Linked DNA regions of Lonchura striata. The protein of the gene in region 1 interacts with the protein of each later gene in a pairwise test. Links are inferred from orthologs where the notes say so. Each region holds a gene or a part of one and is shown in the gene's direction. Other genes may lie near its edges.

The links. The genes of interacting proteins can lie anywhere in the genome.
Region 2: the proteins of LMNA (region 1) and TMPO interact in a two-hybrid assay, tested with the Homo sapiens proteins (2 studies listed by BioGRID, with this or other methods). The link is inferred for Lonchura striata from reciprocal best matches to the Homo sapiens genes LMNA and TMPO.

Annotation. Positions count from the first base shown.
Region 1 is NC_134635.1:1,183,578-1,189,267, reverse strand, and holds the start of LMNA (lamin), read left to right. Parts: upstream 1-2,199; 5' UTR 2,200-2,331; coding exon 2,332-2,681; intron 2,682-5,690.
Region 2 is NC_134607.1:55,416,160-55,421,849, forward strand, and holds the start of TMPO (thymopoietin), read left to right. Parts: upstream 1-1,822; 5' UTR 1,823-1,981; coding exon 1,982-2,224; intron 2,225-5,690. UniProt on the Homo sapiens protein: May help direct the assembly of the nuclear lamina and thereby help maintain the structural organization of the nuclear envelope. Possible receptor for attachment of lamin filaments to the inner nuclear membrane.

The DNA of each region.
Region 1 (5,690 bases):
ATTTCCCACATTAAGGCAAGTCAGCTTTAGCCCTGCCGTTCGTGACGCTCCAAGGAAAACGCTCCAAGGTCAGTGCCCCCGCGGATGCCCCGGACGCAGGCAGGCACCTCCTGCTTGGAGAGCACCCTCGGGCGAAACGGCCTTTGGCTTTCCCTCCCAGCCAGGGCTCGGGGTTTGAAAGAAAACAGCGCGGAGCCGCGCAGGGCGGGCGCTCCGCGCGTCCCGGAGCGCGCCGGGCCCGCCCTCCGCCCTGCCCGCCGCCCTCGGGGCCGTGCCCGCCGTTCCTCGGGGCCGTGCCCGCCGTCCCCGGCTGCTGCCAGCCCCGTGGCCCGGCCACAGCGCCTTCCTGCCCGCTCTCGCCTGCCCTGGGCGTGACACGCTGGGTGCCCCCAGGGCTGCGGGGTCCCCCCACCAGGGAACGGGCAATGCGCGTGGGAGGAGGGAGGAAAGGTGTTGGGACAGGCGAGGAGGCAGGGAAGGAGGAATTTGTGTGGCACTGAACAAAGGAATGGCGTGAAGGAGCGCAGACCCCCCTGGAGACGCAGGGAGACCAGTGCTGAGTGAGTGGTGGCACAGAAATGCCTACAGCAGTCAGGGGGCTTCTCCAAGCAGAGAGAGTTTCCCTGCGAGCCACGGTGGGGAAGGAGGGGGAATCTCACCCCCAACCCCTCCCTGTGGCAGTGCCAGGATGGCTGTGCCCAGCTGACACCCCCCATTTCCCCCCTTTCCCCTCCCATCTTTGACGTGGTGCCGGGGCAATTCCCGGCTTTGAGCTGTTGCCTTTTGAAAGTGCCCCCGGATTGTGGCCGGGTCCTTTCCCCGGCAGCGCGGCTGCGGGCGGGTTAATCACTGCCGGAGAGCGCACACGCGTGTCCTGTGTGTGCTCTGCGTGTTTGCGTGTGTTGCTCCGTTGCTGTGTGAGTCATCCTCAGCCCCGAGCGGAGCAGCAAAGCGAGCTTGGATTGCAGCGCGGACAGGAGGAGCCGGGCGGCCGCGGCTCCGGAGGCGGCTCGGCGTGGCTGTGCCCTTGACCTTGGACCCCTCTGCTCGCAGGGAATGCCTGGGGGAGGTTGTGCTTTGGGGTGCTCCGGCTCTCGCCAGCGTCCCCAGCTTCGAGGTGCAGCTGCCTTCCCGTCTTTCCTTTCTGCAGAGCCCGACTTTCCAAGGAGGAGCTCACACGGAGGAAGGTGGATCTCCCCCCAGGACCCCCGCCTCCCCCTCATTTCTAGGGTGTAAAAGCGTTGCTTTTCCACTCCCATTGTCATTTTATTCCCATTTCTCACACACGGGAGGGTTTGGCTCCAGAGCACAATGCAGGGAGGGGGAATGAAGTCCAAGGAGGGGACATCCCCCCTCTGGTAGCGCTGGGAGTGCCTGGAAGCATTTGGCAGATCTGGAAATCATGAGCTGTCTGTGTCTCGGTAGCGTTTTGAGGGAGACAGAGCACCCCGCACCTGCTGGGAGGACTGGGAATCCCCCCTGCTGGGAGCTGGCCATACTGGAAGGGTGGTTGAGTGGGACTGGAGGGGGCTGGGAGGCAGGAGAACAGGAAACAGTCAGGGAATTGGGACGTGAGCTCAACTGGTGCTCAGAATTTGGGGAGCTACAAACTGGCACAGCTGGCACTGAGGAGAGCTGGGAAATGGGGAATACCAGTGCTGAGAGAACTGGGCAAAAGCAGTGCAGGGAAGTGGGTAGGTGGGTGGTGGCATTCTTTAGTGCCTCAGTGCTCTTTGTGTGTGATGCCTCAGGATTCAGGGGAACCCAGACCAGGGTGTTTCAGGACTGCATTTGGGTCCTTGGATCCCAGAGTTTCAGGTACCTCGGGGTCCTGTGCAGCCTGTGGCTCCTGCATTCAGGGTGTGCCAGGACCCCCCATGCCCTGCCCTGTCCTATGGGACAGCAATGTCCTGGAAGTGCTCCGCCCAAGGGTCCTGGGGGTGCCTGGCTGCTCCTCCTCCCTGCAGCCCCCTCCTTTTCCCTGTCACTCCCAGTCTGCGATGCAGCCTTTGTCGAGGGAATCGCCCCAGAAAAGCCTGCAAAGGGGTTTCCCCGGACTGTGTCCCCAGAGACGCCCTCCCAAGGCCCCTCTACCCAGAGATATTTTCCCAGCCTTTCCTAAGGAAGGGCTGGGACTGATGCGACTTGTCTCCACCCAGCTTTTGGATAACTCCACCCGCCGCCGCCTCTCAGCTCCTCCTCCCAGTGAACAGCCCAGCTGGGATATAAGCAAGTCACTCAGACGCCGGGAGCTGCCGCGACAGCTGGGCGGGTGGCGTGGGACATCGCGCCGTGACCTGAGCCGTGCCCCTCGCCTCGACGCCGGACCCCATGGCGACGCCTTCGCAGAAGAGGAGCACCCGCAGCGGGGCTTCGGGGACCCCCTTGTCCCCCACACGCATCACCCGGCTGCAGGAGAAGGAGGACCTGCAGGAGCTCAATGACCGCTTGGCCGTGTACATCGACAAGGTGCGCTCGCTGGAGCTGGAGAACGCCGGGCTGCGGCTCCGCATCACCGAGTCCGAGGAGGTGGTGAGCCGCGAGGTCTCGGGCATCAAGGCTGCCTACGAGTCGGAGCTGGCGGATGCCCGCAAGACCTTGGATTCGGTGGCCAAGGAGAGAGCTCGGCTGCAGCTGGAGCTCAGTAAAGTGCGGGAGGAGCACAAGGAGCTGAAAGCCCGGTGAGTGCCCTGGGGATGGCGGGGACTGCGGCGGGACGGGTGCTGTCGTCATGCTTGGCAGGGAGCCGGGAGGGAGGAAGGAGCGACCTGGAGGAGCCAGGGAGAGAGAGGAAAAATCCGTGGCCTGGCCGGGGCTGGAGTGTCTGTGGTAGGGACCAAAAGAGGAGAGAAGCTCTCTCGTCATTCCTGCTCTCCTTCCAAGCGCCATCTTTGGCCGGGATGCCCTTGGAGCGGGGATTTGGGAGCGGAGCTGGGCACGCCTGGGGCAGGGGCTGAGCAGACATGCCCTGGGCCCCCGGCAGGGTCGGTGCTATGCGGGCCGGGAGCGCCGGGCTGGCGGCCCCTCTGCCTTCGTCATGCTGGAGCTATTCCTAAACACGCTCCGGCACAGCCCGGGAAGCCGTGCCAGCCAGCTGGCTCTGTCCTGCCTACGGATTTCGCCTGCTCGTCCTATTTTCCTTTGCTGTCTTTGGCACCGGTTAAAGAACCTGCTCCAGGTTTTGTTTGCTTTAACCCTCCCTGTGCCAAGCTGCTCCCACTCTGTGGGGTCCCTGGCTTTGGGGGAAGAAGTGTGCGGGTAGCACTCGTGTCCCCCTCCCACCAGCTGTCACTGGGTGATGTGCTCCCATTGAGGCACGAATTCCTCCAGCCGCTGCCCATCGGGCTCGTTTCTTTCCCTCCCTGCCTTCGTGGACCCTTCCCTGCTGCCTCTGGGTTCCTCTGCCCTCCTCAGGGCTGTCACCGGTTACCAGCCCAGGTCCCCTGAGGACACGGGGCTCCCTGGCCGGTGGCACTGCTGGCCAAGCAGGGGCTGGCCCTGGGCTTCCCCTGGGCTCTGCCAGCCCGTGCAGCGTCGGGACGTGTCCCTGCGGCGCTCAGTTCCCGAAGGCTGCTCCAAGGAAGGAGCGAGCCGATCCCTTTCCGTCATCAGCTTTGGCTCGCAGCCGTGTTCGGGCTGGGCAGCGGCGGGAACAGCCCCCTCTTGTTCCGTTTGATCTCTTGCCTCTTATTCTGGACTCCTCGTTTTGAGCCTGTACCAAATGAGGCTAAAATTAACTTCCTTAGCAGATGCCATAAATATTCTACCTGGGAGGGAGGGACTGTGCTGCCTGTTAGAGCCGTATCCGAAAGCCGTGTGGGGTTATATTTAGCTTTCTATTTCCCGTGCGCTGCGGCAGTTTCGTTCTCCGATAAGGCGGTTTGCTGCTCGCCAGATCCCCGCTCCCGGATCCCGGGGATCGGGATGCTGGTGAGAGGAGGAGCTGAGCTGTCTAAAGGCTTTTTTTCTACCTTGTGCAAACCCAGAACTATCTTGGCCACGATCTTTCGAGGGCTGGAAAAAATGCGCGGCCCGCAGCCGTGGCAGGAGGGGAGCTGGCTGCGCTGTGGAGCCAGCCGTGGGGAAAACGGATGTGGAATTTTTCCCTGCGACCGGCCGCGCTCCGGGAGCTGCTGCGCTTGTTCCCGGGCGCTGACAAATGCCCTGAAAGAGTGCTGGGACTCGCGGGGGTTCCCGGAGAGCAGCTTGTGCCCGAGAGAAGGGTTTTGGAGAGCAGTAGGTGCTCGGGGGGACAGGGGTGTTTCCGTGTTGAGTCATCTGTGAGTCACGGGCGCTGCGATGGAAGAGCGGAGATGCGGGGGAAGCCGCTGCTGTTCATTCCTGCCTCTGGTTTGTCTCCTCTTCCTAGGGCGCGGCATGAGGGCTGCTCCCCAACCCCTAAACCCTTGCAAGGAGGCTGCAGCTCATCTTGTGTCCCCGGGGACCTGCTCGTTGTGCCAGGGCTGCTCAGAGAGCAGCACAGTCGGCTGCTGAGCTGCGATGCTGCTCCTTGGGCTCACTTTGACTGGGGTGTCCGAGTCTTTAGGGCATGAGGGAATGGGGCAGCCACGAGCCCAACCCTGCGGAGGGGTCAGAGGTGCTGGCGGGACCAGGAGGGCCCCGTTGTGACACTGCTCTGCTCCCTGCCATCCCCTTGGGCAGGGATGTGCCCGCGCTGCCGGCTCTCCCCGCCCACCCTGAGCCCTTGGGCCAGCCCTGGGGCCGCTTCACTGTCCTTGACACGGTGAGACTTTGGCTAATGAGTAACCGCAGCCCTCTGCGCCTCTCGCTGTGCCCGTCGGCCCCGAGAAGCGCCGGGTATCTCCCGCAGGGCAGGCGCCCGGGGCCGCGTTATCAGCGCCCACAGCATCGCCGCTGCCCGGTGCAGGGGTTGTCTCGGCAGCACAGAGGGAGGGTGGGGGGCCGGGGTGCCAGGGCATGATGTGACACGGCCCCGGGCGCTGGGTGCTCTGTCTGGGGTGGGGAAAGAGCTGCTGGCTGCAGGGGGACAAGCTGTGCAAACAGGAGACCAGTCTAACCAGTACCAGTGCATGAGTGCGAGAGCTGCACGGGTGGAGGAGGGTCTGAGAAGAGCTGGGCTGCCTGCCCTCTGCCCCCTGCCACCCCTCTGCTCCTGGCCAACTGCTCTTGTCTTGGGAAAGTTTCCAGAGGGATTTTCCCACTGCCTGTTTGGCTGATCCGGGAGGGGTTTCCCAAAGCACCCACCTGGCTCTTGGCACGGGGACCCTCAGCCCTGTGCAGCCTGATACTGGTTGTGCCCCAGGACAAGGGAGTCCTCTGGGCAATCCTGCCTGCCCTGGTGCCACACGTGTCCCCAGCTCTGGCTCTGCTGTAGCCACGCTTCAGACGAAGCAGAGGGTGTGGGGAGGGTGCCTGGTGACTCAGGGGTGCTGGCAGCAGCGGCATCATCAGACCACGGGTAGAGATAGGACTAGTCTGAATTGCCCCTGTCCCTGGTGTCCTCAAGCTTCTGTCCCCTTTCCTCAGAGGACACCTGGATTCCAGCATGGCACCTCCATGGAGGTTGGAGAGATGCTCTGTGCTTGGTCCTGCCCATTGCCCCTTCTCCTTAAGCTGGCTCCTGACTCACAGGGTGAACAGAGCCACAGCCCTTGCCTTGCTCCATGAGAGTTCACCCCATCTCACAAGTGGGAGACACCCCACAGTGC
Region 2 (5,690 bases), on another chromosome or scaffold:
TATTCTCTTTGGGGATGTTACATGGTGACTACACCAACTTTTTAGATTGTATTTTCACTATTAACTTTGACTGAAATTTCCCAGACCCAGTTATCCCTTATGCTGCTTTAAATAATTTTAGACTTGATATGAGTTAAAGTTGTTATTTTTTACATTAGTATGATAACTGAAGGATCTCTCTAAAGTATATTGTGCAACTTGTTCCATATCTGGAAAAGAAGCAAATTCTTAAAGGTAGATGAAAGACTATTTCCCAAGCCACCTAAAAGCTTTTCAGGGTGAAAAATACTATGCTTTAAGTTAGCACTATCAAATTTGAACAGGAATTAAATTTCCTTTAAGTATTTTTAAAACACCTGTCATGTAATGCCCATGTACCTGGTAAATTGTTGGGTAAAATAGCTGAAAATATATATAGAACCATCTAATTTGTTCTAGTCAAGCTTAAAAGTAAATGATAGTAGTCAATCCATGTTGATTCATTACTTTTTACTGTGTGCATGTGTGGTATTAATGGAGGAAGATGTTTCTACCCACTGTTCAGTCTCGTTGCCTAACTGAACAGGTTAAGTATGTACACCAGGAACCAAGCACTTTCAGATCCAAATAATAAAGAACTTCACATGACTGCCACCTCACAGAGCTACTAGCACAACGAAGTAAATTAAATGTCCCAAGCTAAGCTTCTCCCTCCTCTTAATTATTTTGTTACATCACACCAATTCTTCAGTGGGAAGTGTCAAGCTTCCTGTGGGTGGGTCCTTGATCTGTCTCGAAATTACCTACCAGAAAAAATAATCCTCATCACCTTCATCTAACTGATACTGAGCTATGGTAAGGTAAATAGGAGCAACAGGCACCACGAGAGCTTCTTGACGGAGCACACAACAGTAGTGGAAATCCCTTTTCCTAACAGCAACTTACAACTCTTTCTGGAATACAAAGGAGAGTAGGTGCAAACACCAACAATCCCATTTCAGATCCATGACTGATGGAGAAATTGAAATAGCTACATCTAAATTCTTATTTTTGGTATACTGTAAGGTGGTTCTCAAAAGCATAGGACATGTAGTCAAATCTAAACACTAAACCTTTCCCATCATAAAACAGAAGCAGTGCGTGTTCCCAGCAAGCAGCAGGTAAAACACAGAAGAATTTAACCCACTTGTTTAAAGACTGTAAGACTGCAGTGTTGAACTTAATCGAACTTCTCCAGCAGGAGCACACTTGCGACATTTTATTAGTCGACTTCACAAACGGATAAATAAAACGACTGAGCGCTTTTCAAACTCTGCGGTACTGTAGCTGCGAGTTCGGGGTTTGCGTTTAAGCCACCGCAACGGCGGCAGTCACACAAACAGATTAGCTACTGATTTCCCGGCTGGATTTCTTCTGGAGCCCGCTAGCCAAAGGGTTGGGCGGCTGTCCCGGGGGAAAGAGCTGCCGAGCCGCTCTGCCAAGGCCGCAGGTGCCTCCGGGGCAGAGGAGGCGGCAGGTGTGGCGGCAGGACGCCGGGATCGCGGCAGGTAACGGGGATGGCGCTCACGCCTGCCCCGCGGCAGGGAGGGGCGCTCCCGGGGCGGGGACACACCTGTCACCCGAGGGGGCCCCGGCGGCTCCCCCGCCCTGCCGGCGCCCGCGAGCGCCGCCCCGCGCGCCGCTCCCGCCCGAGCCGAATTTAAACTGCGTTACTGTCCCTCGCGCAAAGCACCAACGCCGCGGCTCCCGCGCCGCCCGCCCCCTCTCCGCCCGCCGGCCAATAGCGGGGCCGCTTCGTTGCTCTCCCCACCAATCAGGGCGCCGCTTATTGCTGGCTGGGAAGAAGCGCTCGGTGCGCGCGCCCGCCCGCTGTGGAGCTGGTCCCTGGCGCGGAGCAGGCGAGTCCTCCTCCTCCTCCTCCTGCCGCTCCCCCGCCCCTTCTCCCCGCGCTTTGTTGGTGCCTCTCCCGGGAGAGCGGCGGTGGCGGCTGCGGCCGGCGGCGATGCCCGAGTTCCTGGCGGATCCGTCGGTGCTGACCAAGGAGAAGCTGAAGAGCGAGCTGATCGCTAACAATGTGAGCCTCCCGGGCGGCGAGCAGCGCAAGGACGTGTACGTGCAGCTCTACCTGCAGCACCTCACCGCCCGCAACCCGCCCGCCCTCGCGCAGCCCGACTTTTCCAGCGACGAGGAGCGGGAGCCCACACCGCTCGGCGCCCGGAGCCGCGGAGCTGCTGCCGCCGGGCGGGTGAGTACCGCTGCTCCTGCCCGCGCCGCCTCGGCTTCCCGGCAGCCTCGGGCCCGCTTTCCCGCCCGAACGGGGCCGGCCGCCCCGCCCGCCCGCCGGGGCGCGGCGCGCCGGGGTCCCCGCACGGGGCCGGGAGAGCGTCCGGCTCGGCCGCGGGCGGGATCGCGCCCGGCCGGGACGCTCCCTCCGCCTGGGGGAGCGGGGCAGCGGGGCGGCCGCCCCGCACCGGGGACGAGTTGGGACGGCGGGTCGGTGCCGGGGGCCGCGGGCTGCTCCTCCAGGATGCGTCCCGCCCGGAGCGCCCCTTGGAGCTGCGGGGCAAGGCAGCGCCAGCGCGCGTGGAGCGTGCAAACAGCCCCCAGACTGTAAACTGGGAAACCTTTGCTGTAGCTTGGCGAGCGCTGTCCTAAGTAGACTATTGCTGTGTTGGAGGAGCGAAGCAAGAGAGCTGTACGAGGTTGCAGCTTGCTCAGGAAAGGACTCCGGTCCGCTTGTTGTACGGTTGTACGGCAGCAGCGCTGGTCGGTGTAAATGCCTCTAAATGAAAGATGAAGCTGCGCGGTAACAGCTAGTTTGTTTCGCTTAATGATGTGGACTGTTTAGTGTAAAGAGGGTCTGCTTAATGTAGACGTCTTGCTCGTACCTCTAAGATGTGTATTACAGCAAAGCGCCTCTGGTGCCTGTTCTGTTCGTCCACTGTGCTTGTTTTCTTAGACTTTACGCGTGTGATGAAAGAGGGAAAGCTGATGGCATTTGAAGTTTTTCCTCTTTGGGAAAATGTGATTTTTTTCTTAATTTTTCATAAGTGTACTATAAATTTGCATATATTGAGAATGCAATCTTGTAATTGGTGTTGTAAGATGTCTAATCTCGAGAAAAGCCTTGGATAATGATTATCAGCTTCCGGAGTCCTAATGTGTGTGATAGTGAAACTATTTAATTGTGTCTTAGATACTGTGTTTCAAAGGTCATTAGTTGAGGGCGTGCTGAGAAACGGAGTCCTTTGAAGGTCTTTCACGCTTTAACTTTCTAAGAGAGCAGTTCTTAAACTAAAAAGTCGAAAACTGTAACTTCAAGAGGAAGAGCTCTCTAAAACCAAGTTATTTACCTTATTTCTGTCTATTTCAGACACTTACTTGGCATTTACTGAATGCAGTTACAGTGAAACAGATATTTCTCTGACTTAGAGTGGTCTGCTGATAGCATTCATAAGCTGCTTTTGAGTAAAACATGATGAGCTTGAATCTGACTTGTTTCATGCTTGCTGGAGGAGGAACATATCAGAACTGCTAGTTCCTCTCCTAGATAGGAGTTTTCCTTTCAAGAGGGCTTAAGTTCAAACAATTGTGAGTGAGTTTTTTGATGTTTACAGAATGGGTGGTTCTCCTACACTTTTGTTGACAATATCTGGAAGGCTCTGTGTTATTTATGCTTGTGTTTTAGTATCAGAGCACTGTATCATCAGAAGTTCCAGAATTTCGGCAAATAATCTAGTGAGAGCTGCTCAGATTTGGGTCCGTTGTGCCCTGTGTTGTGTCGCCTTCCCCTCGGTACAACAACCAACCCCAACCGAAACACTCAGAAAAATCCCAAACAATACCTGCCAAGTAAAACAAACTTGGATGATCTGTGCTTGTTTTCTTCTTTGTGCCACTTGAATAGTTCTGCAACTACTTGTAGCCTGAGTAACTTGTCCCTGTTAATGTCTTTTGGCATAAGGGTACTTCTGTGATCAGCTGTCGTTCAAAAAGATTAGCACAGGTGTCTCCAGAATAATTTGCCCCCAGAACAATTGAAAAGAAGAGGAAGAGCGAGGGACATCCCAGGGGACTGGGATTCTGGTGAAAAACCAAAGCAAAATATCTTGGTGAGTTTAAGAGAGGATAGGAGGGACAGCACTGACATTTGTAAGAAGTTAGAAATAAGGGACAAGGGTGGGAAGCTGGAACTGCAAGCAGTGATGGAAAGGCGGAATGAAGTAAAAGAACGGGCCTCCCCCGCCCCTCTCTGGGCCCGCTCGCCCCTGGCTTTATTAGGAGCAAACAGCGCCTGGCCTCTCGGAGCCCGCAGCCGCCTTGGGTTGCCGGCCTCGCGTGCGCGGAGCGGCCGGAGGGTGGGGCCGGGCGGGGCCGGGCGCCAGGGGGCGCGCTCCGAGGCGTCCTGAGCGGGGGCAGGCAGCGCTTGTCTTACGGCGGGTGTGAGCAACGCCTGCAGGCAAGCTGAATACCCACGCTGCAGTCCCTGAAAGCTGTACCGGGTCTCTTAATGCTGGCATTGGAGTTTCGACATGGCTGTAGTCATTAGGAATTTTGAACTGTCTACACTGTCATTTTAGTGGCATTTTTCTAAGTTCTGAGCATTTGATAATGCGTTCAGGTGCTTATTTTCTATTGATAAAAGCTGTACAGAGACAAAATCCCATCGTTTCAATTATGTTGCAAATTATGTTTTGATTCTGTCACTCTTCCATCTTAGCTCTATCCAGCCCAAGAATATATGGCTCACTTTGGCTATATATTCCTACCAGAACAGGAAAGGCTTTTAAAATCACACCTGTTTGTGCCTCAATCTGATAATATTGTTGGGAGAAGCCAGCTTCTCCAGCTCTACTAATGTTTTTGACCAACTTTTTTGCTTTTTTCCCTTAAGCCTGTTTGGCATAGTGGTATCTGAGGACAGTGACTAGCTACACAAGACACTATTGCTTCAGGGTGAACCATCTGCTTCTGAATGCCCCTTGTCCTGGTTAGTTATGAGCTGAATGTCAGCAAAGATAGCTCACAGGAAAAGTAACTATGAAATTACATTTTTTCCTCTCTAGGACCATTATTTTAAAGCATGTACCAAAAATATTGGCATGATGCTGTTGTCAAACAGGAACTGTTCAGAGCTTAGAATGCATAGATTATTAAGACTCAGCTTGCTGTGCATTTAATGTCTTGGAAGAATCATTTCTAATGAATATATTGAGGGATTTTTTTTTTACCTTTAAAGTGATTATATGAAAAAGATCAGTCTGATGTCTCCTGTTAATGAAGGTAGGATGAGAACATCTGGACCTGAAGGGCCTGTTTGAAAGGTCATACAAGAGACTTATCAGGCAAAGATGTTTGGTTTTATGGGGGGAGGGGGGAGGGTTGTTTGTTTGTTGAGAGTTTTTGTTCTAATCAAGTAGCCAAGTAAATAAAGAGCCAGCTCCAGCTCTTCATAGTCAGAGTGCTGTGGTTATGATACCTGTAGCCAAGGTAACAACAGCTTCAACCCCTTCTCTACTGGAAAAGAGAAGATAATGATAAAACTGGTAGTTTGTGAAGATTAGGTTTGTGGAGAGTGTACTGGATAGGTGAGGCAGTGTAAAGCATCTGTGTGTGCCCAGTGAAGGCAGAGAATCTATTTGGGGCTTACTACATGGCTGGATGTCTTAATTACGAAGTGCCACACCAACATCACCAAGAATACAGTTTAA